Nothobranchius furzeri: one gene and its partners. The protein of the gene in region 6 interacts with the protein of the main gene of each other region in a biochemical or structural test. Links are inferred from orthologs where the notes say so. Each region holds a gene or a part of one and is shown on either strand. Other genes may lie near its edges.

Evidence for each region.
Region 1: of the proteins of mtor (region 6) and prkn, one has a biochemical effect on the other in vitro, tested with the Homo sapiens proteins (2 studies listed by BioGRID). The link is inferred for Nothobranchius furzeri from reciprocal best matches to the Homo sapiens genes MTOR and PRKN.
Region 2: the proteins of mtor (region 6) and stat3 form a complex in vitro, tested with the Homo sapiens proteins (2 studies listed by BioGRID, with this or other methods). The link is inferred for Nothobranchius furzeri from reciprocal best matches to the Homo sapiens genes MTOR and STAT3.
Region 3: of the proteins of mtor (region 6) and rps6kb1b, one has a biochemical effect on the other in vitro, tested with the Homo sapiens proteins (18 studies listed by BioGRID and IntAct, with this or other methods). The link is inferred for Nothobranchius furzeri from reciprocal best matches to the Homo sapiens genes MTOR and RPS6KB1.
Region 4: of the proteins of mtor (region 6) and akt1, one has a biochemical effect on the other in vitro, tested with the Homo sapiens proteins (19 studies listed by BioGRID and IntAct, with this or other methods). The link is inferred for Nothobranchius furzeri from reciprocal best matches to the Homo sapiens genes MTOR and AKT1.
Region 5: of the proteins of mtor (region 6) and eukaryotic translation initiation factor 4E-binding protein 1, one has a biochemical effect on the other in vitro, tested with the Homo sapiens proteins (29 studies listed by BioGRID and IntAct, with this or other methods). The link is inferred for Nothobranchius furzeri from reciprocal best matches to the Homo sapiens genes MTOR and EIF4EBP1.
Region 7: of the proteins of mtor (region 6) and maf1b, one has a biochemical effect on the other in vitro, tested with the Homo sapiens proteins (2 studies listed by BioGRID and IntAct). The link is inferred for Nothobranchius furzeri from reciprocal best matches to the Homo sapiens genes MTOR and MAF1.

Annotation. Positions count from the first base shown.
Region 1 is NC_091752.1:62,524,971-62,529,260, reverse strand, and holds the start of prkn (E3 ubiquitin-protein ligase parkin), read right to left. Parts: upstream 2,801-4,290; 5' UTR 2,729-2,800; coding exon 2,722-2,728; intron 1-2,721. UniProt on the Homo sapiens protein: Functions within a multiprotein E3 ubiquitin ligase complex, catalyzing the covalent attachment of ubiquitin moieties onto substrate proteins. Substrates include SYT11 and VDAC1.
Region 2 is NC_091745.1:6,835,032-6,838,531, forward strand, and holds part of stat3 (signal transducer and activator of transcription 3), read right to left. Parts: intron 133-3,500; coding exon 1-132. UniProt on the Homo sapiens protein: Signal transducer and transcription activator that mediates cellular responses to interleukins, KITLG/SCF, LEP and other growth factors. Once activated, recruits coactivators, such as NCOA1 or MED1, to the promoter region of the target gene.
Region 3 is NC_091753.1:29,214,564-29,218,602, reverse strand, and holds the start of rps6kb1b (ribosomal protein S6 kinase beta-1), read right to left. Parts: upstream 2,801-4,039; 5' UTR 2,692-2,800; coding exon 2,623-2,691; intron 1,507-2,622; coding exon 1,463-1,506; intron 1,379-1,462; coding exon 1,258-1,378; intron 1,128-1,257; coding exon 1,059-1,127; intron 1-1,058. UniProt on the Homo sapiens protein: Serine/threonine-protein kinase that acts downstream of mTOR signaling in response to growth factors and nutrients to promote cell proliferation, cell growth and cell cycle progression.
Region 4 is NC_091758.1:33,917,168-33,920,667, forward strand, and holds part of akt1 (RAC-alpha serine/threonine-protein kinase), read right to left. Parts: intron 3,201-3,500; coding exon 3,072-3,200; intron 1-3,071. UniProt on the Homo sapiens protein: AKT1 is one of 3 closely related serine/threonine-protein kinases (AKT1, AKT2 and AKT3) called the AKT kinase, and which regulate many processes including metabolism, proliferation, cell survival, growth and angiogenesis.
Region 5 is NC_091757.1:46,259,649-46,263,752, forward strand, and holds the start of eukaryotic translation initiation factor 4E-binding protein 1, read right to left. Parts: upstream 2,801-4,104; 5' UTR 2,479-2,800; coding exon 2,343-2,478; intron 1-2,342. UniProt on the Homo sapiens protein: Repressor of translation initiation that regulates EIF4E activity by preventing its assembly into the eIF4F complex: hypophosphorylated form competes with EIF4G1/EIF4G3 and strongly binds to EIF4E, leading to repress translation.
Region 6 is NC_091755.1:52,502,060-52,505,559, forward strand, and holds part of mtor (serine/threonine-protein kinase mTOR), read right to left. Parts: intron 3,449-3,500; coding exon 3,340-3,448; intron 3,257-3,339; coding exon 3,073-3,256; intron 2,303-3,072; coding exon 2,174-2,302; intron 2,096-2,173; coding exon 1,851-2,095; intron 577-1,850; coding exon 367-576; intron 1-366. UniProt on the Homo sapiens protein: Serine/threonine protein kinase which is a central regulator of cellular metabolism, growth and survival in response to hormones, growth factors, nutrients, energy and stress signals.
Region 7 is NC_091747.1:46,933,900-46,938,150, forward strand, and holds the start of maf1b (MAF1 homolog, negative regulator of RNA polymerase III b), read right to left. Parts: upstream 2,801-4,251; 5' UTR 2,192-2,800; intron 1,930-2,191; 5' UTR 1,924-1,929; coding exon 1,841-1,923; intron 558-1,840; coding exon 426-557; intron 351-425; coding exon 188-350; intron 117-187; coding exon 1-116. Other genes in the region: zfand1 (AN1-type zinc finger protein 1), read right to left, coding at 3,139-3,315, 3,689-3,844, 3,951-4,069, 4,196-4,251. UniProt on the Homo sapiens protein: Plays a role in the repression of RNA polymerase III-mediated transcription in response to changing nutritional, environmental and cellular stress conditions to balance the production of highly abundant tRNAs, 5S rRNA, and other small non-coding RNAs with cell growth and maintenance.

The DNA of each region.
Region 1 (4,290 bases), on a different chromosome or scaffold from region 6:
GAAATATAAATTCTGCTCTTTTTTATTTTGATAACTTGTTGGAGGTGTGAGGGCTGGTATCCAGCATGTTTTAGTGGTTTCTCTGCTCCAACACACTTGATTCACCTGTGCAGCAGCTCATCCGGCTCTGCAGTTAATCACCTGCTGACTGAAATCAGGTGTGTTGAAGCAGAGGTAAAACTAAAACACGCACCTCTAGCACATCTAGGGTGATGGTCCGAGAATGGGTCTGAGTACACTGCTGAACAAGTGCCAAGCCAACCCTCCTTCGATTTTTACGGGCGCACCTACATAAGGCATTACGGTGCCCTGTTCAAAAGTGCCTTTCAAATTAAAAGCGCACTCCCAGGATTTGTGTCTGAACATGCTGATGAACGGATTTCAAAGTGTGTGTTAAATTGTGTGTAAGATAAAACTGCATTTTAAATGATATAATCTTTTAAAAATACTTTCAATTCCCAATCCTAACCCAACAATCAATCAATCAAACTATTTATGAAGTGCATTTCATACAAATAATGTAACAATAAAGACGTTTGTCTACTTTGCAACTCTTATAACTCCACTCCCTTTCATCGTGATCTGATGTGGCATTTCAAAATAAAGTTCAATCAAATTTGACAATGAAGACAATTTTCACAATATTCAATGGTTTCTTTTTCAAAAACTGTCTGATTCTGCAACATCATTCCACCTCATTGTTAGAGTACACATCGACTACTTGTTTTGTTATTTAAAAACAGTGAGATCTTAAGCTAAGTAAAAAAGTTATATATTTTTTATCTCTGAGAAAGTGAAACTTAATTGTATACTGTAAGTTATTATAAATTTCCCTTTTTTAAATTCACATTCACAAATTACTTGTATTGACTTGTTTTTGAGAATAATACTTCAATTGGGATAGCAAAGATGGGCTTTCTTGAGACTGACCATCAGTTTTTGTAAGAAGAGGTAAATAACTATGGACTAAATAGATGAGATATTAGGTTTGAAAATGGTTTGTTTCTAAATTCCACATTGGATACTACTCCAACACTGTGGTGGAATGATGTTGAGGATTCAGACAGTTTTTGAGAAATTAACCATTGAATATAGTGAGAATTGTCTTTATTGTCAGCTTTGATCGGTTTATTTTGAAATGCCACATCAGATCCTTATTAATGTAGTAGTCGATGTGTATTTTACCACTGAAGTGGAATGGTGTTATGAAATCAGACAGTTTTTGAGAAAGAAACCCATATATAGATATTGAATATAGTGAAAATGGGCATTATTGTCAACTTTGATATTACTTTGAAATGCCCTATCAAATCAGGATGAAAGGGAGGGAAGGGATAAGATTTAATTCCATTTTTGGTTCTTTTTTTATAACAGATAAGGTTTCTCTTTACCTTGCTAACGTTTCGTTTGCGGCTGCAAACATCCTCAGAGCTGACGCTGATGGTGGCGTCACTTCCTTCTCCGTTTATCCGCGGGCAGCAGAGGACGTTGTCACCCTCTGCTGCCCGCTCTCCCTTCTCCGATGATGCAGTCCATGCAGTCCCATGCACGATCCAATGTGTAAACTCTATTGTCTCTGTTCATAGTCCCGCCTCTATGTCTTCTTATCGCTATAGCTTCCTTTATCCATCTTTTGTATTTCTGTTGATCGGTGTTTGTGGTCCTTGTGTTGTCCCAGTCCATTATATGGTTTTCTCTTGTGCAGTGATCTGTTACGGTTGACTTCTTTATTGTGCTTTCTGCTTCTTGTTTTGCTGCTCGTGTGCCTTCAACTTGTTTCTTTCTCGCACTCCTTTCTATGTTCTATTGTTCATGTTTTGAGTTGGCGTCCGGTTTCTCCTATGTATGTTTTATTGCAGCGTTTGCATGAGATTTTGTAAACACATCCCGCTGTCTCATTACTTCATAGTCCGCATCCATGGATGCGAGACTATGAACAGAGACGATGGAGTTTACACATTGGATCGTGCATGGGACTGCATCATCGGAGAGGGGAGAGCGGGCAGCAGAGGGCGACAACGTCCTCTGCTGCCCGTGGATAAACGGAGTAGGAAGTGACGCCACCATCAGCGTCAGCTCTGAGGATGTTTGCAGCCGCAAACGAAACCGTCAGCAAGGTAAAGCGAAACCTTTTCTGTGTTTTAAAAAAAGAACCAAAAATGGAATTAGAAGTCAAACACAGCAAGAACGTACCAAAGATATAAAAATGGGATAAAATTTGCAAAGCAGACAAATGTGTTTATTGTTTTTAATTTAAAGTTTTTTAAAATAGACATATTATTTAAAACGCAGTTTTATTTTACACACAATTTTAACACAAACAAAAACTTTGAAATCCGTTCATCAGCATGTTCAGGCCCACATCCCGGAAGTGCCCTTTAATTTTGAAAGGCACTCTTGAACGAAGGTACCGTAATGGATGATGTAGTTGCGCACGTAAAAATCGAAGAGGTGCTGGGTTGACGACCGTTTCCGAACGGGAGGCTGGCTTGGCGGCAGTCTGGGTCCCTAAAGCTGGACCTTTGCATTTAGGTAAAGACAAACATGGTCATTTGTTAAGACGACAAATTTTATTGTAACGTGTTTCCTGTGGGTCCACAATTAGACCCGCTTTTAATCTGACAGTCACCGGAAGCATAACCAGAACTCATCCGAACAACCAACGTCACTGATCATTTAGTAACGGATCAATTAAAGTGATCGGCCAGCTACGGAACTCACCGATCATCCGTTCGTCTCCTTCATGAGTTGTTTACAATCAGCCGGCCGCAGTGCATTCTGGGAGCTTTAATCCCAGAGCAGGCTCCGCCCCGTCAGGAACCTGCTGCCTCCTGCTGGACCCAGGTGTGCACTTCAGAATCAAGTAAAAACGAAACATGCAGCTTTCTGTCATTTTTAATCCCGTTTACATTGATTTAAATGAAAAAAATGCCAGTATTTCCTCCAAAGAGCAGTAAAATACTATCATTATACATAAAGGCATCCTGATATATTCTAGTTCAAAGGTCAGGGTCGTGGGTAGATCTTCATATGGATCTGTACCCATGAAGTAGGTCTCAGCTCCAACAGGATGGTGAGCCCTAACCCAGTCCTGATGAATGTCTTCAGTCACAGATCTTTCCTATCCACAGTGAGAACCAGTAAGGACCAGACACAAGACTCAGAGAACGAGTTTGCTTCAGCTCCCTACTTTTCTGCTCCAGTTCCTCTAAAAACCTCTTCTTTCCTGTCACTGATTGCTGGATATAGTGGATTTTGTTGGACCTTTGATAGTTTTATGATTTTGGGGATTTTTTGATTTCTTGGACTTTTATTTGGACTAAAAATCTTTTGGATCTGTCAGAGGCAGTTCAGCTAGGACGTTCTCGCTGTTGCCTTGAAGCTATTTGAATGTGTGTCTTCCCTCTCCTTCTGCCCCACAATGACGCCTTTATGCCTTCTGAAGCGAATAAAAGGATTGAGAACCTTAAAGAGCAAGTCACCCCGTACCAGATTCTTACTCAACTCCCACTTCCTGTTTGAAAAATGCAACAAATGCTGTTGCCTAGCAGACAGAGAGGGTGGAGCCGCTAACAAATACACACACTCACGACATTGTGACATCATAATGTACCATCTAACATCATAGTGTACCTCTTAGCCAATAGCGACGGCAGATTTAAATTCAAATGCAGTGCTGACTTTTTACCTGACGACGGTGCAACACTGACATTTTAGGCAGAATATTTAAATTTTAACTAAAATGCACTAAGGTGCCGAATTATTGACTACACATGTCTGCAGCACGATCAGACATGCATTTATGTAGTTTATCAGCAAAAAAATGTTGATTTGGAGTGACTTGCTCTTTAAAGAGGATATACGACGACTCTCTGCTGAACTGCAAAGGAAGGAAATGCTGCGGGATAGTTGTAGACAGGGCCGTTGCTTGCTATTTTGGTGCCCTAAGCACAAAGACTTCGTGGTGCCTGCCCACCCCCCCCCCACCCCACCCCCACCCCCGCAAAAAACAACACAATAACACAGTATGTGCAAGCGCTTCGCCTTAAATTCTCTTTAATTCTCTTGTATGCACAAACTGCTTATTATTTCCAAAAAGTAGGATTGATATTTACGTAATATAACTACTCAACACAGTAACTCCATATTGTTATTATTTAGAACTATGTAACAGGTCCACACACCAAAAGCACCGGTTGTGGCACATGTGTTTCTCCAATGTAATTTTCAGATGCTTTTTCAGATCCAGGACTCACTCTGCCTTCAGAAGAGCTGGCTGTGGGCTGTGCT
Region 2 (3,500 bases), on a different chromosome or scaffold from region 6:
TTGATCCTGCGCAGGTTGTGCTGATAGAGGACATTGTTCTCCTGCAGGAAGCGGCTATACTGCTGGTCTATTTCCCCCAAGAGGTTGTGGAACACCAATGTGGCATGTGACTCCTTGTTAGCAGCGTAAGCCCTTAAAGAAAATCACCAATGTTATAATGACTTACACGTACTCCTCCCAACAACAAGAGCACTTTGTTTACAACTTACCGAAAGCTTTTTAACATACAAACTAAATGTCAGAACACGTGACCTGTTTTGCAAACTACTGCTATGAATCTGACAACATCAAAAACCTAGAAGACAGTGGCGCCCCCAAGGAGTGGCCAGGGGTGGCCATGGCCACCCCTACAAAATTGCTGGCCACACCCAGGGACCCAGTGTTCTTTAATAAGTCATATTATAGTTTACACAATAAATGAATTTATGTTTTGTTACGAACATGAATAAAGGAGCATTTATTGCAATACTACAGGCTAAACTTTCCCAGAGTTACCACGAGGATCAATTTAGCCAACCCAAAATCTTCTCCGGCCCCATGGCCACCCGCTATGAAACTTTTCTGGGGGCACCACTGCTAAAAGGGAGTGCAATAATTCAACACATTCTGTGGTTAGCATTACTGCGACTAACGTTTAATTAATACAGATGCTGACAAGGTGTTACATCCCTCAGCTCGCCAGGAGTGATGTGACAAGTAAATGTTAAGTGGTGTGTCTAATAAGGATGCTCCAATTAGGGCTGCAGCTGTCGAATATTTTTGTAATCGAGTACTCTATCGAATCTTTTATCGATTAATCGAGTACTCTAATAAATTACCCTTTTGCGTTTTTAAACCCTTATATCAAATAGCATGTTATAAAATATGAAAGACCTCTTGAAATGAGAAAGCAATTGCCAGTTATTCTTCAAGTTTTATTCAAAATTAGTTTTCAAAACTTCAGCACTTCAACTTTACTTCACAGTAAACAAATGCGAGCGGCTGCGGCCCAAACAGCACCAGAACCGCTAACGGTGCATGCGCAAACATGGCTCGCCAGCTGTTTCCCTATTAACACACGTTCGTTTTAATTTCTACACTTTTTTTGTCTCACACTAACAAGGATTGTCGAAAGCATGTTGCCGTGGTTATGTCAAATTATACTGATCATAAAACATTTATTTACTTTCTTTCGTTTTCCTCCACCACTCATAAATACCCGTGTCCTCCTGCAGCAATCCTGAGGGACAACGGACATCAATAACAACACAGTAAAAAGTCAGACGTGTTGTAAAAACTGCTATTTTTAGCAAATTTTAAGACCGACGTGTTGCTACCAGATGTACGGTGTGAGCTGAAACTGAGTGCTACAAATGAAAAAGTCGCACAGTGTCTGCAGAATATATAGAAATACAGGCTAAAATGCATTATCTTGTAGAGGCTCCGAGTCCGCTTGCAGAAGTGACATTTACATGTGGATGTTTGCTGGTCAGGTTGCAGCATTGAGCAATGTGGTGTTGTGGTAGGCTAAATCCATTTTACAGTATTTACACTGGAGTACGTTTTCCGCCTTACGACGTGAAAAATGGTCCCACACCTTTGACATTTTGTGTCTTTTTCGCACTCCACCGGGGTCCACGTTGTCCGCCATGGCTTAAAAGAAAGTTAAGTTGCGTTCGCTACTCGCGTGTGCATTCAGTGCAGTGTGTATGTGCGTCACTTAATTCGGTCCGGGTGAAACATGACCCCGGGCAATTGCAAAGCCCTAAATTAATTAAACATGAACTAAACGAAGCCTCGAGGCACAGAATTTGACTCGAGGATTTTTTGTACTCGAATTATTTGAGGTAGGGCTGCTCGATTATGGCAAAAATAATAATCACGATTATGGTGACTGAAAATGAGATCACGATTATTTAGGACGATTTTTCAATTTATGTTGATTTTATTTGTTTTTATTCAGTCATAAAATTGCTCAGGGCACAATCAGGACAAAAATAAATAAGAAACAAGATGATCACTAAAATAACTTCTGATTCCCAGTATAAAAAGACCAATATACTTACAGCTCATAGTCTATGACCCAAGGGCTATAGACCTTGGTTTAACTCGTGTAAGTCTAACCAGTACAGACCCAAATACCAATATCTTGCAAATACTGACATCAAGAATTATACAGTGGCATTTATAACAAATAAATGCAAATAAATTGATGTTCACAAAATGCTTCATAACATTTATTGAGTTGTGTCAAGGTGCTGTAGGAGAGTGCACTAGCACCGTGTCCTCAGAGAGATTAGTTATTATTTATCAGCGTGAGGAACTTATTTCTACCTTATTTATAAACTATTTATTTACAAGTCGTCCATCAGTTAATGTAATAATTGTCCCAAACACAGCTGCACCCCCACCCCCCAACCCGGTCTCACAGCAATCAGGGGAAAGCTGCACATGTGTTTAGCACGCCGCACGTGCACATTTAGCCGTTTTTAGTGGCTCGGGAGTCCGCAGGTACGGTGTGTGTGTCACTCACTCTGGTTACTCCAACAAGGAGCCGGCTCCGAGAGCTGTCTTTAGCGACTGACACATCACTACGGCATTCCATTTCCTAATGTCCTGAAGAACGGTCCGGAGCGCAGGCGGAGTGTTTATCTAACCTGCAGGAAATGTCGACGACAGTTATCCAGAAAGTAGCTAAGGGTTACCAGAGATGTTTCTAAGGTGTTCGCAAGGTACTTTTAAGTTAAAAAGTCAAGAAGGGGGTCTGAAAAGCTGCTAGAAATAGCGTCAAAGTCGCTAAGTTGGCAACACTGTAGCGCTTCATTTGCAACTCAGGGCAGCGCAAGCGGGAGGAGCAAATAATCGGCTTGTTTTGTTTTTTATAATCGTTCAAAACTCAGATTGTAATCGTGATTAAAATTCGATTAATTGAGCAGCCCTAATTTGAGGTACTCGAGGAATCGTTTCAGCCCTAGTTCCAATCACATATTTTTGCTCTCGATCCGAGTCACTTGATTTTGAGTATTGATCGATACCATTACTTCAACAACGCATTAAAATAATACTGAACACATTTATTTATTTTCTCCACATTTCTTTCTTTCTGTATTTGTTATTTTCTTAGTTTATCTGCCAGAAAACATCACCTGTTCAGGAAGCCCATTGATAAGAAACGTGTTCATACACTAATGATATATTTAACAGTGGCCTTGTAGCTTGTATTTCAAATAGGTTTGCAGCTGTTTTGAGGGATTCGCATTCCTGCGACAGGGCAGATATGGCATGTGACGCCAGCAGCATGCTCACTCTTTTCTACAAAACACCAGTACAGCTGCGTCTGTAAAGTTGGGTCAACAAAGCAGCTCATACCACGACTTGTGGAGACCGCAAAACACAACATCTGCAACCACAGTCATCCAGTGCAATAAATACTGTTATCTTGGCATTTAGCGGTCATTTTTGCTGCCATTTTTTAAATGTATCTTTCAGCGTCGACTCAGCTGGCGCCATGTTTTTATCAG
Region 3 (4,039 bases), on a different chromosome or scaffold from region 6:
GGCGATCAACACCAAAGTAGAGATTAAAAAAAAACATTAGTTCATAGGAACACACGGACTGCTGCCCTGGAAGATCTTTAGCTAAACTCTTAGAAATGAAAAGTCTTCTGTGTTTTCTATTTGTTTAGAATTTATTACCTGAACTGAGAAACAAGTTTTTTTATTGTTGTATATTTTATTTGTTATAGCTCAACAAGCCAGACACAACGGTGAAGGTGGAGTTTAATCGACATTTCTATTTTAGTGCAGGCATATGTGCTGCAACCCAAATGCTTTTCTCTAACGACGGGGTTTCTCTCTCCGGCAGGCTGTTGCAGTCCCGTAACATTTTCAAATATTCTTGTATTCAAATTATTACCATTATGCCTATTTTGGACTTATCCGAGTACAAACAACCTTTAAATGATTACTGCCTTTTTAAAATGAATAAATCACATTTTTGTGGCCTGCGACAGCTTTAAACCTGACAATCCTCTTCTAATCTAGAAAAGTTTCAGCGCCTGCCCAGAATATTCTGCCTCTTCAGCTTTCAGCACCGCTGTTGATCGTATTTCTGTTTACTAAACACTTCGATCAGACAGCTGACTAGATGTCTGTCAACAATAAAAAGGTCTCAGAACGGAGTGTTTAGAGAAGTGAAAGCCTCTGATTCCCGCAGCTCTGGAACCACAGAATAATCCCATGGATGATGAACGTCGTTTCTCTAAGAAGAAACACATCTTAAAGCTGGCTTCAGAAACTGAGATTCTCCATAAATACAAGTCTGATTTTTTTACAGACACCTTTATATTTTACATTCATATATATAATTTCAGCAGATCCTGTGAGTTAATCGGGCCAACGTGGCTTCAGATGTTGGGCTGGAGCTGAAAGAGCCGAGGCGGCAGCAGAGAGGTGCAGATAGCGATCTATCAGCTAACCGTGAAGCCTAACCCTACCGCCGGCTTCAGCAGCAGCAGGAATGTCAGGATTTTTTTAAAGTATGTAAAATGATCATATGACACAAACTGACAAACGCTGGTTTCCAACAACAAAAATCCAACGTGACTTTTAAATACCTTTTTTAAAACTTTCATGGCAAATATCTTGCCCGATGCAGCTCCGACAACTTTGCGAACTTGGAAAACCTGAACGACAAGAAATGAAAGGCATGTTTCGAATAATCGTAATCAAGAAAACCCCTGGTCAGGTGACCAAGGCAAAAAAAATCCACCCACATCTTTCCCAGGAGTACTACGTGTTGAGTTTTTGTCCTACCTTTCCATAACCACCTTTCCCGAGAACCCGCAGCAGCTCAAAGCACTCCGGTCTGATGTTCTCCGCCCCCTGGTTGACGTTGTCCTCGGAGATCTCAATCTTCTCACAGCCGTCCATGTCGCTGCAGCGGAAATAAGGTTCAGGGTGCAGCGCTGAGTCTCGTTTTTTAACTTTGTTTGGTTGTAAAATGTTCAAAAAAACTTACAACTCAAATCCAGCGCACTGCTCCATAATGTCACTGATTTCAATCTGGCAGGGGGAGAAATAATTCAGGATCATGATATTTTACATTATTTTCTAAACAAGAATCCCAATAAGTCTTATTTCGGATATTTTGTGTTAACGTTTGGACCTTTAATTGACTTTTTTGTTTATCATTACTATTTATATAACTCAACAACTGAGAAAGTATTTATCTCAAAAAGATAAATATCCTCTGGTGACTCTGCAGCCTTCAAATAAAACATTGGTTGCTCAAATTTAATTTTATTTAGAGTTGAATTTAATTTAAAATTTAAAACATTAAGTTCAAGAAAATGCCAATTTTATAAACATATTGTGATAAAGTCACTTATAATAAATGTATTATTAGATTGTAATTTGCATGGACTGCTTTTTTGTGTGTACACCTACACCTTGTAGGTCTACGCTACTTAAACAAAACTAAAATTATTTCAGTTCAAAATGATTTGCTTTTAATTAGCGACTTGGAATATTTTTAGCTTTTTATACAGAAAATATCTGCATTGTTTCACTTTTTTGTCCAAATATATTCACATTACTAAGTAAAATCACCAGGAATCAAAGACTAATCAGCAAAAGGGAACATTTAATGTGTTTGCTGAACCGACTTCTCTATGTAGTGAGGGTTTTGTCCTGTTTGGGACATGCAGATGTACAAAAACATGCCTTGAACCAGCGCCATCTATGCTCCGTGACTCTGCGGTAGCTCTGCCTTTTCTATCACTGTTTGAACAGAAGCAAACGGGCAGCCAGCCTCTCAGCCCACACAGTCCCACTCTGTCACATCTTGCCAAAATAAACTGTTGCACCCGGAGCCGCATTTATCACCGCAGCACCTTTGGCCAAGTAAGGATGGTTTTCACAACTCCAGCATGACAGCGATGGATTAAAAACGTGACAGCGTCAACAGCTTATCGCGGAGTCGTGTTTGTTACCAAAGAAACACAGAAGAAAAGGCAATTCTGTCACGATTAAGGGTAACTCTCACTTTGCTGTGCGGAGGCCCGACCGTTCTGGCTGCACGCAGGAACAGGCCTGCGGTGGCTCCTGCCAAGCTACCATGCTAGCTAGCTAGCTACCGTGTGTCAAGAGTTTCTGCCGTGACAGCTTCCGTAAAAGTACCTCCTCGTTCTCATCATCGGAGACATTCTCCTCCGGCTGGTCCAAATCAATGTCAAACACTCCAGCCATGGCAGCGAGTCGCTCGAATCGCTCTGTCACAGACTGCAGGAACAGCAGGCGTCCCCCACCTCATGGACAAACATGCACGGCCACCATAACCGGCTACTATAGTGAGCATGCGCACTGCGGCGCTCACAACAAAGGGGCGGGAACTTGTTTTATTGTCTCAAGAACAGAAACTGTTACAAATAAAAGCACAAAAAAATCATTTCTGAGTATACAACAAGTGGATGTGTTTCTATTTGCTTTCTCTGGATGTTTTAATTCTCATTCTAAGACGGCACAAGATTAGCTTGGTAATTTCTTACATTCTTACAGACTTTCATAGGTCATTCAGCTGACCACAGGCAGTGAAAAATGTTAAGCGCCTTCTTTTAGTTTATGATTAGATGCTAAAATATAATAGTTTTCATTTGACAGAGGTTTAAAAACACAAAATTGGTTGTACATATATACAAGAGGGGATACCTGTGCACCATTTCTAGGAACTAGAAGTTACCCAAATCACAGCTGAGCTTCAGGCGCAGGTTTTAGTCTTATTTCCTGATATTTGGACATCTGGCCTTGGATTGGCTTACAGCAACGTGCCTCTACCACTTGCATGTGGATGTTTATCTCTACAAACAACACAGGCCTGGAGGAGCTTCTTCAATGTGAAGTTGATCGTGCTAATAATTAGCTTCTACTAGTTGAGATAGATGTCTTCTACTGATTCTCGGACATTAAATCTACAACATCCCCATCGTAAGTCAAGATGGGCGAGTCCATGAATGTTAAATGACACTGTGACGTGGATCAGTCAGGATTTTCAAATCCTAGAGTTTCACCGTCTGTTACCAGAAACTTATGCAGGAGATGGAGTAGAAGACTATTTTCATGTTCATCCTGCATGAAAACATCAGAGTGACCGATTATAATCAGAAATAATCATTAAAGGGATACTAGGCAGTTTAGCTTGATTTAAGCACCCCCTAGTGTCAGTTTGTAGAAGCGAAACCAAAACTCTCCTCGGTGTGCGTTCGCCTTTTTAATACCCGAATCTAACAGCTGAAACATCTCCCAGCGTTCCCAAGTGTCTAGAGGAGTGAATCATCACTAAATTAAACTCATCCGCTGTGTTCATGATCTAAAACAGGCAGGAAATGTACTGAAGCCAGATAGCAACGGCAGGTAGGTCAGCTCAAAAAGCCCCAACAGACCGGACCTGCAACTGTGAAGTTGCAAGTGGAATATTCTGGTCTCAGGGGCGATAGGGGTTGGGTGACCTTTCATTAACCATGTAAAGTGTCATTTTAGTACATACTGGCTCAAGAAAATGATATAAAAATATTAAAATGTTGCAAAGTATCCCTTTAAA
Region 4 (3,500 bases), on a different chromosome or scaffold from region 6:
TGGACTATTATACACAGCCTTCTTCAAGTACACCGACACGCACGACAGCCAGATGCCGTAAAGCAGCCTCCGCCTCCCAGACAAACAGAAGAAGACGCCGCATGGCTACATTGCAATTTCCCACGCGAGTTGTCTCCGATCCAAGTTTTGTCTGCCAAATAAATAAACAAAAACATAAACAGTGAATTTGGGAGGCGCTTCACAGCCCAACTTAATTAGCATACCAAGTCCGACACGTAGTTGTATATTCACGCTTATGTGCTTAAAGGAAAACTCCCGTTTATTGCAACCCAGACTTAATTTCTAGCATGCAGTACGTTTGTTTACTCACGCTGACAACTTTGGTGCTACTTGGATTCCCCGGGGTATTTAGATCCATCAGCGAATCGCCATCAGTGTATATCCATATAACGGGTGCGGACGGGCACCCATGGTGCAGCCTCGAAATAAGACATTATCTGCACCAAAACACATCTCAATGTCGAAAGGTTTTGTTAGAAATCATTAACATGATTCCCCTGTTCGTTTGGAGCGGGTCTGGGATTTCTAGGCGTGAACAGACTAGCTGCGGCTAATTAACCGGCGCTTTTAATGACGTCACTGCCGTGCGCCAGTCTGTTTTTATTAAGATTACCGGTAGATGTACCTTTGTCCTACTGTGGAGAAATTCCTTTTCTCCCTTTATTGGCCAACAGAGTTGTTCAAAAGTACAGAACAAAACATATGGCATTACATCTTATGACAAAAATGCACCTTAAACAGAGTTTAAGCAGCAAAACATCACTCTGCAAATAGTGTATTCATAGTGAGACAATTCATGATTTAAAGTGTTAACTTTCACCAGTTTTTGTATGCACGTTTTAAAAAATGCTGATACTTGAAAGGTTTAAGCACTTAATACACTTAATTCTTAACATTTAATTTTTGCAATATAAATTGAGGAATGTTATTTTTCGAATAAACTTGCTCAATAAATTGGTGTTTTTAAATAGTATCGAAATCGAGCATCGAGTTATTTTTCAAGTATCGAATCAAGTTTGAAATTTTAGTATCGTGACAACCCTAATGCACACACACACATATGTACCTCATTAGAAAGCCAGGATGCTTGTGATTCCAGTCATGTATGCCAATCAAGGATATAACATAACAATAACTGCAGACACAGTAAATGCTTTCGTCAAGCTACTCTAGAATTAAAATAATGTCTAACTCATCGTCCGAAGGCTCGTATCACTGACGGAATAGAACCATCTTGAACAAAAATGCTCTTTAATGCAATTCAATTCAAGTTTATTTATATAGCGCCAAATCACGACGAGTCGTCTCAAGGCACTTCATATAATAAACATTCCGATCCAGGTCAGTTCATTAAGCCAATCAGAAAAAAGTTTCCTATATAAAGGAACCCAGCAAATTGCATCAAGTCACCGACTAGTGTCAGTGACTTGATGCAATCCTCATACTAAGCAAGCATGCAGCAACAGTGGAGAGGAAAACTCCCTTTTAACAGGAAGAAACCTCCAGAGAATCCTGGCTCAGTATAAGCAGCCATCCTCCACGACTCACTGGGGATCGAGAAGACAGAGCAGGCACAAGGGTCCAATAAAAGCACTCCATAGACTCGTCAACAAGTCACCCAACATAATATATGGCTGGAAACACTAAAATTTCCTTCAGATGCATCTCTTCGGCAGCCTCATATCAGCTTCAAACCTCTGAGCGACATCCTATTTGATGCAATAGGTGAAGGGCAAACGCTTCAACTCCTGGCCAATAGGTCAGATGTGCCACCCCCTACTCTCACTTGTGTAGCTTGGAAATTTTACGGCACAGTATATTGTTGACTGAAGCATCAAATGGGGCCAAGGAAATTCTAAAAACTAAAATTCCGAGCATGACAACAGACAGGTGAGTGGTGGTTCTATGCTAATTCCTGCAATTGTGATGTCACAAACGGAGACTTTTTGAATCAACTTGTTTTATGCATACAATTCCTAAACCAAAAAGTGACCAAAACAGATGGAAAGCTGTTTTCCATGTTTTGAGTGTTTACAGGTAGTACAGAACCAACTAGCAGCACAGAAAGTTTCATTTGAATTACATACCCCAATTAAACAACTGGCAATGCGTTACTTTTCTCTGATTTTAGGCCATCAGCTAACTTTTTTATGCATCTCTTTAAAACCAATTCCCTTAACTCTGGGACAATATAAACATGTTACTTCAGTGTATTTAAATAGATTCATTTTTACCACATCGTGTGAAAGCCTTAACTATCACATGATGTTATCAAGTCCAGTTTCCACGTAAACATCCTCAATACCATGATTTCAAAATGTAACCCAAACTCTTGGCTTTCTAAATCAATTTAGACTCAATGCAGCAAATTGGCTGTTTTTAAGTTTATTGAGGACTGATGCACACAAAAAATATACATTTTGAACTTGAAGTTATGTAATCATTGTGCATTCCTTTTGAAATCCAGAAAAGAATCCAGGGAATCCTGGAAAGCCCTGGGTAAGCTACAATCTGCTGCATTCTCCAAGTGGCTTTGTGCATCCTGTGTTTAGAGTTCCTGAGGTTAACAAATAGCTAAACTGAAACCACACTTTAAAAACACTAGTTATGCACTCAATGTGGCAATGATGAGCAGGGGAAAAAAAAACCTTATCAGCTGAACAGACTCTTAGAAAAAAGGTGCAAAACACTGAGTATTTTGTCCTAGATGTAGTATTTATACATTAGCGTCGATAACGGATTTATTGTGACAGTTTGAGGAAATGCATTCAGGACATCTAGGAGGGCTCGCCACGAAAGCAAACCAAAATCAATAGTCTTTTTACTCTCGATTCCCTTTCAGTAAGGATATTATTAGGCTTTTAGACACAGTTTCCCCCAGAATACAAAGGGTTTAAACTATATTTTACAAACAGGACACATCTGAGAACAAGTATGTGAAAGTACTTCTAACAACAAAGCAAGTAAAAAGAAGAAAAGCATCAAACTGGAGGGTAGAACAAGCTGCCAAGACACAGAGAAGAGGGGGTTTCTTTGGAGCAGACACTCACGTGCTACAGAGAAGTTATTTAAGGGGGTTTCCAGCTGGTCAACATCTTGTGGTCGCTCTTTGTATCCGATAAATGTACCGTCACTCTTGAGGAGAAAATACCTTGGCCTCCAGGTTTTGATGTATTCTCCTGATTTGACAAAACAGGAAACAAAAAACAGTTAAGTGATGAAAGATGAGGAAAAAAAAGTTGCATTTTAGAATCTCCGCTGCTTACTCAGGAGTTTGTTTTGTTTTCCCAAAATGATAAGTGCAACAGTTTTGTGATTTTATGATCAACAACAAACAGGTTGTTCCCTTTAACACGTTTGCAGTTACAGTGGTGCTCATTCTTGTTATCTATGACACAAAGGCTGAATTTAGCAAACATCTGGACACATTTTTTCTGCATTTTCATTATTCTATGATGCACTCTGGTTAAAATACTACA
Region 5 (4,104 bases), on a different chromosome or scaffold from region 6:
TGTGTTATTAACGTAAATCTGAAATAAATAAATAACAGGTCTGTTTTAATTAGGGATGCACCGATACCGATACTGGCATCGGTACCGATACCAGTATCGGTATCAGTGAAAGTTAACCGATACCAGGAACCGATACCAATGCAGTTGCTTGAAAATGGCTTCACTGTAACTTGTCATTTCTGTTCACCTAATATTTTAGTTTTGTGATGATTTCCATTCATATATTTTACTTTTTATTTACCTCACAGTCTTTTCCTGTTGAAAGCAGAGAAGAAAATAAAATCTGTATTCCATATCATTGCATTTTTTTGTGTGGTGGAAGTATCGGTATCAGTAATCGGCAGCGGCAAGTACCCAGATCCAAGTATCGGTATCGTATCGGTTTGGAAAAAAGAGGTATCGGTGCATCCCTAGTTTTAATCACAATGTCAGTTAAACAATGAAGCCTCTTTGGCAAAGCAGTAACAGCTCTGACCTCATTAAACTCTTAAAATAAACAATCTGTCAGATTTAAAAAAAAATCTAGTTTTGTTGGATTTATTCAGGGGCTGATCTACTGGGGTGGCAACTGCCTCCCTAAAGGAAAGTTTTGCCACCTCAGAAGAAGGCAGCAATAATTCATGAAATAGTTGTGGCAAATCAGACATTATGAATGTGAAAGTAGCATGTCCGATTACACCGATCATGACACAAGCTGATAAAATAATGACCTGAAATAAAAAAAACATATATGGTTATGTAAATACTGATGAATTAACAGGGAAAGAAATGTGTTTGAGTGAATAATAAAACTAAAGTTTAGTACCTTGTTGCAGTGAAACATTGTGTTGGTGGTGGCACAAAATGCCAGCCCACTCCAGAGTGGCTGTGGCTACATCGTAGCTTACCATCCCCGGCAGTGTGAACGTGAGAGTGTGAACAATATAACCTTCTGAGTGGCCTAGTGGTAAGAGTGTCCGCACTGGAACTGGGAGATCGTGGTTCATCGGGTTATCCCAAAGACTTTAACTCATTCACTGCCAGCCATTTCCTGATCGCTGAAGACCTTCACTGCCAGCATTTCTCGCCATTTTTACTGTTTTTTAAGAGTCACAGAACGTTGCGCGCTAGGATGATGTCGACGCCAAAACAACCAAAACAAAGAGGAGACTCACCTCTTAGATCAGGAAGAATCCGCGTGTTTCAAGCGTTATCCATTCTTTCATAATTCGTTGTCGAATTGTGATCGGCAGACGCTTTTCCGGTTCGCGCCTCATGTTTTTTTTTTTAAAGGAACAACCCAAACCGATCTCCTAACACATGGATTTTCTGCTTCCTGGTCATGTGACCTGTGACGTATGCGGATGAAGATCAGCTTCAGAGCTGAGACGTTTGCTTCTCGGCGCGGGGACTCGTTCCAATGCCCACACAGTAAAAAAATTCCAATGACGACTATTGGCAGTGAATGAGTTAAAAATGGGACCCAATGCCTCCCTGCTAGACACTCATCTTTAACCACCAAATAGTTCCCGAGTGCAGCCACTGCTACAGCTCACCGTTCCCCATGAGGATGGGTCAAATACGGAGATGTCATTTCACCAGCGTGTGATGATGACTAATGGGACTTTAATGGAATGCGCTTTGAGTTCCAAGAAAAGCACTGTATAAATCCAATCCATTATTGTTATTATTATTTCTTTCCATATAGTGCATCTATGCTGACCTTGGTACAGCTCAGTGCATAGGAATTCACAGACACATTTTTAATGGATAGTTTAGTTCAAAAGCTTTTGTGTGCCCAAAGAGTATAGTAATTTATGCTCCATTTTACCATCCTCAAAATTTTGCCCCCTTCTGCCACCCCGTACATGTTTTTCTAGGCCCACCACTGGATTTTTTTCTTTTGCTGCATCTGATCCCAAATTCCAGTCCAGTAGGTGGTCGTAATGGGCTTTTAAACTGGTTAGGTCACCGCCAATAAACTCAAGAGCACCGATTTGATCACGTGACTCAGATCCCAGTGACAAGATGTACAGAAGTCAAAGTAAAACCCTAAAAACGATTTTCACTTAATTGAAAATTAGTTATTGTGTTGCAAAATTACATTTACAAAACGACATTGGTCATATGCCTCAAAGCCACTTTTTAGTTTTTCACTATTCTGTTTTTTCAATGATCGCTAGTTAGCGTTAGCGGTTAGCTTCAGTATAGCTAGCTATCAGATGACAGCAGCCAAGCCGACCTCATGGAGTTAGCATGAACACACGCAACAACGCTGCTGTTAAATGGATTCAGGTCTCGTGCCACTGACCTTTTGACCAAGCACACAAACGTTAATGTGGAGTTAAAAACACACAACGTACCGCCCGGTGTGGTGCTAAAAAGGGTCCCCCCGGGAGTAGTGGAGTAGTCGTGTGGCATGTGGTCCGCTTCGTTGACGGCCACTGTCCTGGTGGACGGGATGGCCTTGGCATTTGTCTTCTGAAAGTCTGTGGACATCTTCTCTCAACTAAAAAATTAAAAGTAACTAACTGGATGACATGAAACAAGAAGAACGTCTGGGTTTGACAGAACAAAGCCAGAGGAGTGTTAGATTTGGCTCAGCAGCAGAACGGTCGCCTTCTGATGAATAAAAATAAATATCTAGATTTCATGAGTGCAAACTATGGCGATTAAAGTTAGCCACATTAACACACGCGCTCTCACTCAAAACGGGTCGAGGATGTTTGGTGAAAAAGGACCTCAGCAGCACCCGTTTCTCTGTTTCCACATGCACACAAAACAACACACAGACATACGCAGGCAGACCATCAAGGCATACAGACAGGCTGCTGCAGCCCTGTAGGGAGAACGCTGTTCGGTGCAAACTAAACGAATTTATTCCGCCATCTACTGGTGCATACTAGGCTACAGAGATTAAAATAATAATAATAATTATTATTATTATTTTTAAAAAACTATGTATTTATTTTCACCTCATTCTATTTGAAAATTTTCTTAAATACAAAATCTGCAGACACTGTTCCAGATTTTCACCTTTTAAGGAACGTTATATTGCGTTATTATGCTTTCAACAAGAAGATTGCCTTATTCTAGTCCGCCTCCGAAATGATTTTAAATCATGTCAAGTTGACAGATGATTTATTTAAAAGGAGCAAAATCAGTAAGTAAATCCTGCTGTCATCTTCTGCTCAAATATAATTATTGAATTTATTCAGGTGTGTGTGTGTGTGTGTGTTTCTTCGGCATTTTAATGTATTTTCAATACAATTTGCTTTTAAAAGCCCTTACATAATTGTTTTATTTATTCTGACCACATTCCTAGCTCTGAGATGTTAGATCTATAACTTCACAAGTTTTAATAACACAAAGAGAAGCTTTTAAATCAGATTCAGATTTCATGAATTTCTTTGAATTCATGTTTCTTTTTTGCAGCACGTCTATAACAGACTTCCCCCAAAGCTTGATGCATCTCCTGGCAGGATGGTTAAACGAGCGAAGATCTACTCACTGTGTCAGTCAGGAAAAAACACACTTCAAAGTCAAGAAACGTCATTTAAAGACATGAAAAAAATTACACGCAATACGCAAAGATGTTTCATTTCTTTATTAATTTTTGTAAATGTTGAGCTGGTGTACAGAGTAAATTGTCAACAGATGCCCTCAGATTTTGATTGGATTAAAAGGTTTTCACATGTATATTTTATGTTTGACTCTCCATGACAATAAAAAAGCAAACAAAATAAGTTAAAACACCCACAAAACCCCTATTTATCCCCAGGTTGCAGGCATTACCCAAACTTAAAAGTCTCTTAGTAGCTACAGCTGTATGATGCAAAAAGGACATCCATAACATAACAGGAATCCCAGTTGACAGGGGTGCATAGCATTCTAAGTAAATATATATATTTGTATGTTTCATATATATAGCCATTTTTATATTAAAAACTTTTTGTGCATGTGCGCAGTTGCATTCCTTAGTATCGAGTAATATGCTATTAATAATGTCTTCAATCCATTCTAAAGGAATATACATGTGTTCTCTAGTTTTTGCAAGAGTTAACATTTTTGCATGAACTTGGTGCATGTTTCAGCAGTCCATTGCAGGGCTCCTCGTCTCACTGG
Region 6 (3,500 bases):
CCACGACCCCACTGAGTCATACCATATCATATCATATAGTATCAACTTTATTTCTATGGCACAATTTAAAATACAGCGTGAGAGCTGACCAAAGTGCTGAACAGGCAGGGTCAATTAAAACAGAGAAAGACAAAAGCAATAAGGAGCTAAACAAGGCGTCACTAGCAGGTAAAATCAATAAGAACAGTAAATAAAACACAACACTAAAAACAATAAAACGATAAAATGAGACACTGTCTAAAAGCCAAGTCATAAAAGTGGGTCTTTAAACAAGACTTAAAAACAGGCAAAGACAGGCATTCAGCCCGAGTCATGAAGGCGAGTGAGTCTGAGATCAGTACGATCCCAAAATCTTGACAACTTTACCTGGATCGGTGATGCCCACGACCAACAGCTTGCTGAGCACATCTGCAACAACCTGAACAGCGGTTTGACTGACCACATGGCCACTGATCAGATGGATGGAGGGCGTGAGGAGACGTGAGCAGGTCCGGGCAGCTTCCATTCGGATCTCTTTGTGTTCACTGTTCAGGAAGTGATCGGCACAGTGGCGCACAAACTGGGTCAGGGAGTGTCCTGGCGAATAAAGTTTAAACGTTGTGTTAGCGAGGAAGAAAGCAACCGTCAGCGCTTTGCTGTGTGGTTCTCTGAGCCCAGTTCCACCACCAAACTGGCACGGAACAGGGAGGGTTGGTTTGCTAGTTTCACTGTCCCGATGACCCAGACCACGCCAGTCACAGGACATTTGCCTCCTTCTGCTGTAGGCACAGAATTTTGTACAGCTAATGTGGAGCAACAATACAGTCCACTGATTGGAGAGCAAAAATGTGTCACTACTTGCAACAAGCAAAACAAACCTCAGAGTTTCGTTATTTGTATTTTCATTAGTTGTACACGAATGTGAGAAATTCCAGCAAGCGGCTTGAGAGCTCCATACATTCCTCTCCATCATCGTGAGAGTCTACGCTATGGAAGAGCTAGGTGGATCGGTAAGGATTGCAGGTTTCTCAGCGGATGGCAGCCGAAGGATTTGCGTGAATGTCGGAACGGTGTCGGGCCAAGCTGAAGAAATTAAAGCTTAATGTAGAAAAGTTAGGAACAGAAACAGCCGGAGTGGAAATGGGAGAAATACACAGAGATTAGGGCTGGGCAATAAATCGAAAATTCATCGTTATCGAAATTTCTGACTTTTATCGAGATTAATTTTCCCATGTCAATAAATTTGATAGTGAAAAAAATGAAAAGCTGTGTAGGTTGGCAACGTTCATGTCCCTTTAAGAAGCTGTACCACATTGAGTCACGTACAAATGTGGCTGAACGTAATACACGTGACAGCCCCATCTAGTGGATAACTTTAGTTTCTGCGCATACCTGTAGTAATTGTCCATTTATCGTTATCGAGGGGAAATCCTCAATATATCGTGTTATTGATTTCAGGACATTTCGCTCAGCCCAACAGAGACGCTACGACGCGCTGGATGCCACAGACCGGCAAACCGAGGCAGCGAGGCAGGCTGGGACTCAGCGACCGCACTTGGGGAGCCCGTTGGTAAGCATTTGATTTTTTGACTTTAGCTCTGCAGAACATTTATTGCAGCACAAAAATACTGAATAGTTTCAAAAGTTATTTATGAAATCGCGCATGAGGGTTGATTTAACCCTGCCTGCCAACATGAGAGCCCAAACTGTGATAGAAATGCTCTCCTGAAATTGCAGACCCATACTGGTCCACAATGACCCGCCTCGCCCAGTCCCAAACCCAGAAGTGGATCTGAGGCTTCTGTAGCAGAAATTTTATAAAAAAACTGGAGCCTATGAGAGCTTAGCAGAGTGTGTTTAAAGGTGCTTACCTTCAAATTCAAAGCTTCCTAGCGTGCGCAGGGCCAGGGTGATGCTGCCAACATCACTGGCCTCTGGAATGTTTGTGAGGCTCGGCGAGGCGAGCTGGTGAGCCAGGCCTTTGGGCATTCCTGGGTGTCTCAGTGGCTTGTGCATTAATACCAAAGAAAGCATCTTCAGCAATCCATCCTGGATATCTTTTTTCAGCTGGGGGATTTGACGGCTCAGGTCGTAAAGCACTGCAGTTAGAGCAGGACTAGACCAAGACGTGAAAAAAGATACGTGAGAACACCACATCACCTTTGAAAAGTCAAAATCTGTCAGCCTGTCCTACCTAAGGCCCACTGCCAGCATTGGTTCCAGGAGCTCCTTGATGTCGGGCTGGATGCTGGGGCCCATGGCTCTAGAGAGCATGCTAATGCAGGTAAACACTGTGGCATCCACCTGCATGGTCTTCTGCCTCCTGTAAACATAACAAACATCAAAGTAACATGGTTATTATACTGTTCTAAACCTATATTAGCTAATCCCAACGCTCCTGTTTCAGGAAGTATAAATTAGCGGGAGGAGTGGAGAGGTGGAAAACGGCAACATTTTGAGTTTTACTCATTATTATTCATGATATGCAAACATCTTTCCTCTGATTGGCTAACAACAACGAGCCTCTACTGCTGCCTTCGTTGCCTCATCTTTCTTGGGTAAAAATGCAAACGTTGAGGTTTTATCTCTGCAAGTAAAACAAGCACATTCCACCTTGTTTTAGAGATGCTAATGCTAACGGTTAGCTTCTACTAGTTGAGACTTACTCTGCTCTCTCCTGGCTGCAAAACTCAACAGCTTTCCGTGGTCGCGACCTAAGTTGTCGAGTCCTTGTATGTAATTTTATAGAGCGACGTATATCTGTGTGGCTTTTCTGACGCAAGTGTTTCTGTGTCTATTTAATTTTGGCAGTTTACACAGGAAATATGGTTGAAGACATACATGTGAAACTCAGCATGACCGACTGTCAGTATAACATTGGGTTATACATGAAATGTGTTTATGTAGAGTGTGACCAACACACTCCACTCCAAAAACTCAATACATACAATAAATAACAGAGCTTAAAATAAATCACTAATAATCCAAAAATGTACCCTCACAGAAACAAAAATGGGAATCTGAATATGAATAAAATGTAGATAAATAAAATAATGGAACCTAAAAATCATAGACACGGTGTTAGTGACTAACTTGTGTGCAAAGTCTTTGGGTGGCAGCGCAGCCTTGATGATCTCAAGGATCTTCATGAGGTACGGCTGGATTTCCGTCCTGACAGCCACCACTAGAAGCCCCAAAGCCTGGAAAGCTGCCGTCCTCTCCTTCTCCTTCTTCAGACAGCCCAGCAGATACCCCATAGTGTCGGACAAGTACTGGTCTGTCAGTTCAGATAAACATATTATGTGCAGATGACTTTAGGTTAATGCATCAAAGCGAAACTGTTGATCCAGACAGACCCACCTGTAAACGTATGCGGCTGGAATGCAGCTAAGCGAGGCAGCAGGTTGAGGATGGTCATCTGGATCAGGGGGTTTTTACAGGTTTTGTATTTCAGGACCCACCGACACACCTGCTCAGACAATGGCAAACATACATTTAATCCTGTGAGCTTCTGACCTTTT
Region 7 (4,251 bases), on a different chromosome or scaffold from region 6:
ATGTCACAGCTCTGCAGATTGATCTCCTGATCGATGGCATTCCACAGCTCCGGTCCCAGAGAGTTAAACTCCTCCCCCACGGCGGAGAACAAGCTGCTGTTTACTGCATTCACCACCTGGGGAGAAGATCAACCATCACTCATCCGCTTTTGCTCCTCGATCACCTCTAAAAGGTCACCAGGCTGACCCAGTTGACGCTGGGCTCGCGGCTGAACTCGTGGGCCCGAGCAGTGCTGAAGTCGTAGTCCGGCCTGAAGGACTCGTTGAGTGTAGTAATGAGGTAGAAGAGGGTCTTCCTGCAAACTTTATCACTTAGAGGGTTCTCCCCGTCCTCGCTGCTCTTCCCCAGCCTGCAGGAACACATCGTTTAGAACATCTAGACTCGCCCGTCATGGAGCACCACTGCAGCGGACCAAGTTACTCACTGTGAAGGGCTGGTGGTGCTGGTGGACTGAGGGGGCGAAAGGGCCTCCAGGACGTGTGGCTCACCCTCCTGACAGAATTGCTTGAACATGTGTTTATCATCTCCTGCCATCTTACAGGAGTAGCTCTCGATCCTGCAGAAGAGACAGCACAACATTAAGCCTATTTAAGCCATTTATGAATCGATTATCAACCTGCTGCACTGTTTAGTAATGGGGGGGGGGGGGGGAAAGATACACAAATCAGGAGTGTGGCACATAGAGCACATCATTTGAGACGTCTCATCTACACAAACACAAGGCGAGCCCCCGATAGAGTTCTCGGTATCTGGGTCAGACGTCGCTGATATGGATATCTGAGTGCAGCAGACTAGTGTGTGTGTTTATTTTGCCTCATCACACTCAGAGGTTACACAAGATGAGGCAGCTCAGGACAAGCTGGCCAGAGAAATCCCTCCAGACCCCACGGGCTAATTATAGAAAACATCAGAGGACAGCAGAGTGGAAATACCAATGCTGGTATTTCCAACACAACGCACACACACACTTCTCTAGACAACATCCTAATTTATTTATAAAGGGTATAGCTATTTATTTACACTTGTCCTGTACAGCTGGTTTTTGCACAACCATCGTCTAAACAGCAGCACTCAGTTATCATGTAATGTGTGCTTTAACACTTGTCTCCAAAATAACCACAGGGTCTGGTGAGATCTGCGTCACAACCAACATATTTCAGTTTCAACACCCACACATCAAACTCTGCATAAGCGCACAACCCGGCCACCAGGCTTTATGCAACAACACCCTCTCTAACTGCAGCTGCAGGGCTTTGCAGAACTGCAAGCTCTGAAAGTAGGCCTTGGGGATTGTAAACTGCTATCATCATATTGCATAACCCTTGAGTGGCGCTTTGCTCCACTACCCTGGTTAGCAGCAGGATGTATGCAACACTTTAGTGTTCCATGACGTCACGCAGGCCAAACGTTTCCCTACAAACCGTATAGCCTTTGTATTAAAAATGGAACTTGAACAATAAGGACGATCTCCTCATCAAAAAACACCAAGGCTCTTAAGTCTGTTAACATTTGTAACCATCTGAAACTGTTCGATTGACTTGACCTCTTCCAAACCTTTCTTTTTTTATTTTTCCTTTTTTCTCCATGTCTCCATCATTTCTGTCATTCTTCGTTGTAATACCACAATGGTATACTTTATGTGTTCCATGTCTTACAATTGTATGTTCAAAATGTGCTAAATAAAGTTATAATGAAAAAAAATAAAATAAAAAATAAATAAATAAAAAAAAACGTATAGCCTTTTTTGTTGTGCAGTATACCTGCGAAATGGGCTTTACTGATGCACCATCAAAAGAAGAATCCTAAAAATGCTGAAATAAGGTGGAAGGGATTTTTTACCTGCCAAGGATGCGAGACTCTCCAGTTTCAACGCACAGTCGAGAGCTGAGAGCTTCAAAACTGGAGTTTTCCAACAGCTTCATGGCAGTCTGGGGGAACAAAACACAACTTTATGGTTAAAACGATAACCAGGACTAGATGCACTCATTTTCTCTGCTTCTCTGGAATTATTTTAACCCAACAGAACAAGTAATTTGAACGACATTAACGAAACAATAAGATAAAAGCAGCGTTAGCAGCAGCGCCCCGTGAGGACGTTTCTGACCAAAACATTGATTTCGCTGGCCAAAACCAAAACCACTACCCCTCCCCCACTAGCAGCCAGTCTTCCTGGTTTACGCCGTCTCATACCTTGACAATTTTCTTCAGCAAACGCAGGAAACTGGTTGAAAATCTCAAGCAGCCGTCCGCACGGTTGGCTAGTCGACCTCTGCAGCGAAGAGGTCACCGAGGATTAACGATCCGCGCTTTGTTGTTCACTAGCTAGCCCGTTAGCCGTTAGCTTGCTGATTATTAGTAGCTTTTTGCTGAAACTGCGGAGCCTTTTTAATGTGAACTTGAGCTTGAGTATGTTTCAAAAGCACTCGGTCGAGATGGAGTTATTCTGAGACTTTTTAGGTTTATACAGAAACTGCTCTTTCCGATTAAATGCGACGAGATCACATCCAAAGACTGTTGGCGTTCCTCGGAGTCTCGCTGCAGCGGCATCCCTTTCGACCTGATTTTTCAAACGACCGATATTAGACAGATCAAGTCGCTCCTTTTCCCGGCGACTCGATCGGACAAGCGGCTAATTTCTACCGATTCTAGTTAAATTTCAGCGGAGCTTTGGTTTTGCTTTCGGTCGACAACCTGAACAAGTCAAAACAACGGGATCTACTGTTAACGGACGACCCAACCCCTTTTCTTGTACAACTGCTTCGCTATCGTTCCCGCCTACTTTCTTAATGTCCTCTTGTGATTGGCTTCTCGAGTCTGTCAATGTCAGAAATGGAAGCTGTGATTGGTTGGAACCGTTTCGCTCCAGACGAGAGATGTAACTGGAAACCTCAGCAGCAAAAACAATAAACAACATTATATATATATATATAATTAGCCCGTGTTTTTAAAAAAAATAAAATCATTGCAGAATAATCAAACAAATCTTTTTTATTTATTTATTTTCATTTCGGTCATGTGGCAATTCATTATGTCAATTTGTCTTGCATGTAAAACCAGTTTCAATAAAGCATTTTGACAAAAAAAAAAACTATAAACAGAACTGATCCATAAATGTACAAAGCCATTATGTTGATTGGTCACGTCTGTGTGAAATAGTCCGAAACATCCTCCAGGCCTGAGCTCTCATTGTCCAGGTACTCCAGGATCACATTACCCCCGTTATGCAGGGGAGATTCTGTGTGAGACAGCAGAGAGAGCAGGGTGTCATCCATCCTGAGAGCCTCACCAGTCTGGGGATGGCAGAGACGCAGCTTCTGCACAAAGGGTTACGGCAGTTTAATATCGGCTCATATTACTGGCAAAAACAGGGAATTTTAAATATTTTTAAGTTTAGGCAGAGAAAAAAAAGATTTCATAAACTGAAAAAAAATTACATCAGTCTTAAATGATAAGACTACCACTGTTTTCTTAAAGTAAAGGTAAAGAGTTTTCTTAAGGTAAAGAGTTAGTTGTGCAAAATGTTTTGAACTAACATTTTCCCTATGAATTGGGTTGATATCTGAGCTGGTTATGCATTAAGGTCTTTCCTCACGAGAAATTTTAAACTTCCTTGTTATCACAGGATGCATTTTTGATGGAGTAAGTAGATAAAATACACACCACTAAATAAGTCAGTCAGTCTTTTACCTTTGCTGTCAGTACATTGTTGTTGTTTTTCAGGCTGGCTAGAGAGGCTGCGTGATCCACCACTTTCCCAACACTCCATTTGGAAGAAAAGAACATGGGCTGGCTGCGCTCTTTGGCTTCCTTTGGAAGATACACCTGAAAATAGGTTCTTTCTGTCTGGAAAGCAGAAGGAATGCAAGACGAGAGTAAGATGTGTGTGCTTGATTCATGACATGCAACACACAACAATGCTAGAACAAGAAATTGAAAGCTGATCTGTCACCTGTGGCAGCCCTTTATCTCCTACAGCATGCAGCTTCAGTTTCATCAGAGCTACCTTGGCTGCAGTGGCAGCGTTCTTTGCTCCCTTGCATCCTTTGCTTTTGGATCCAGCTTTTGACTCTAATCAGACAATTAAACACAATTTAAATGGATAAACCTGATGTATTTTTTGGTTATTGTTGACCGATCCTAAACCCACGTGTAGAAATTAGATTCAACACAAGAATCTCCTCTTTTTAAACCGACCTACAATCTTTTGCACTAGCTCTTTGGTGGCTGCCATCCGGGGCTTTTGGGCCTCC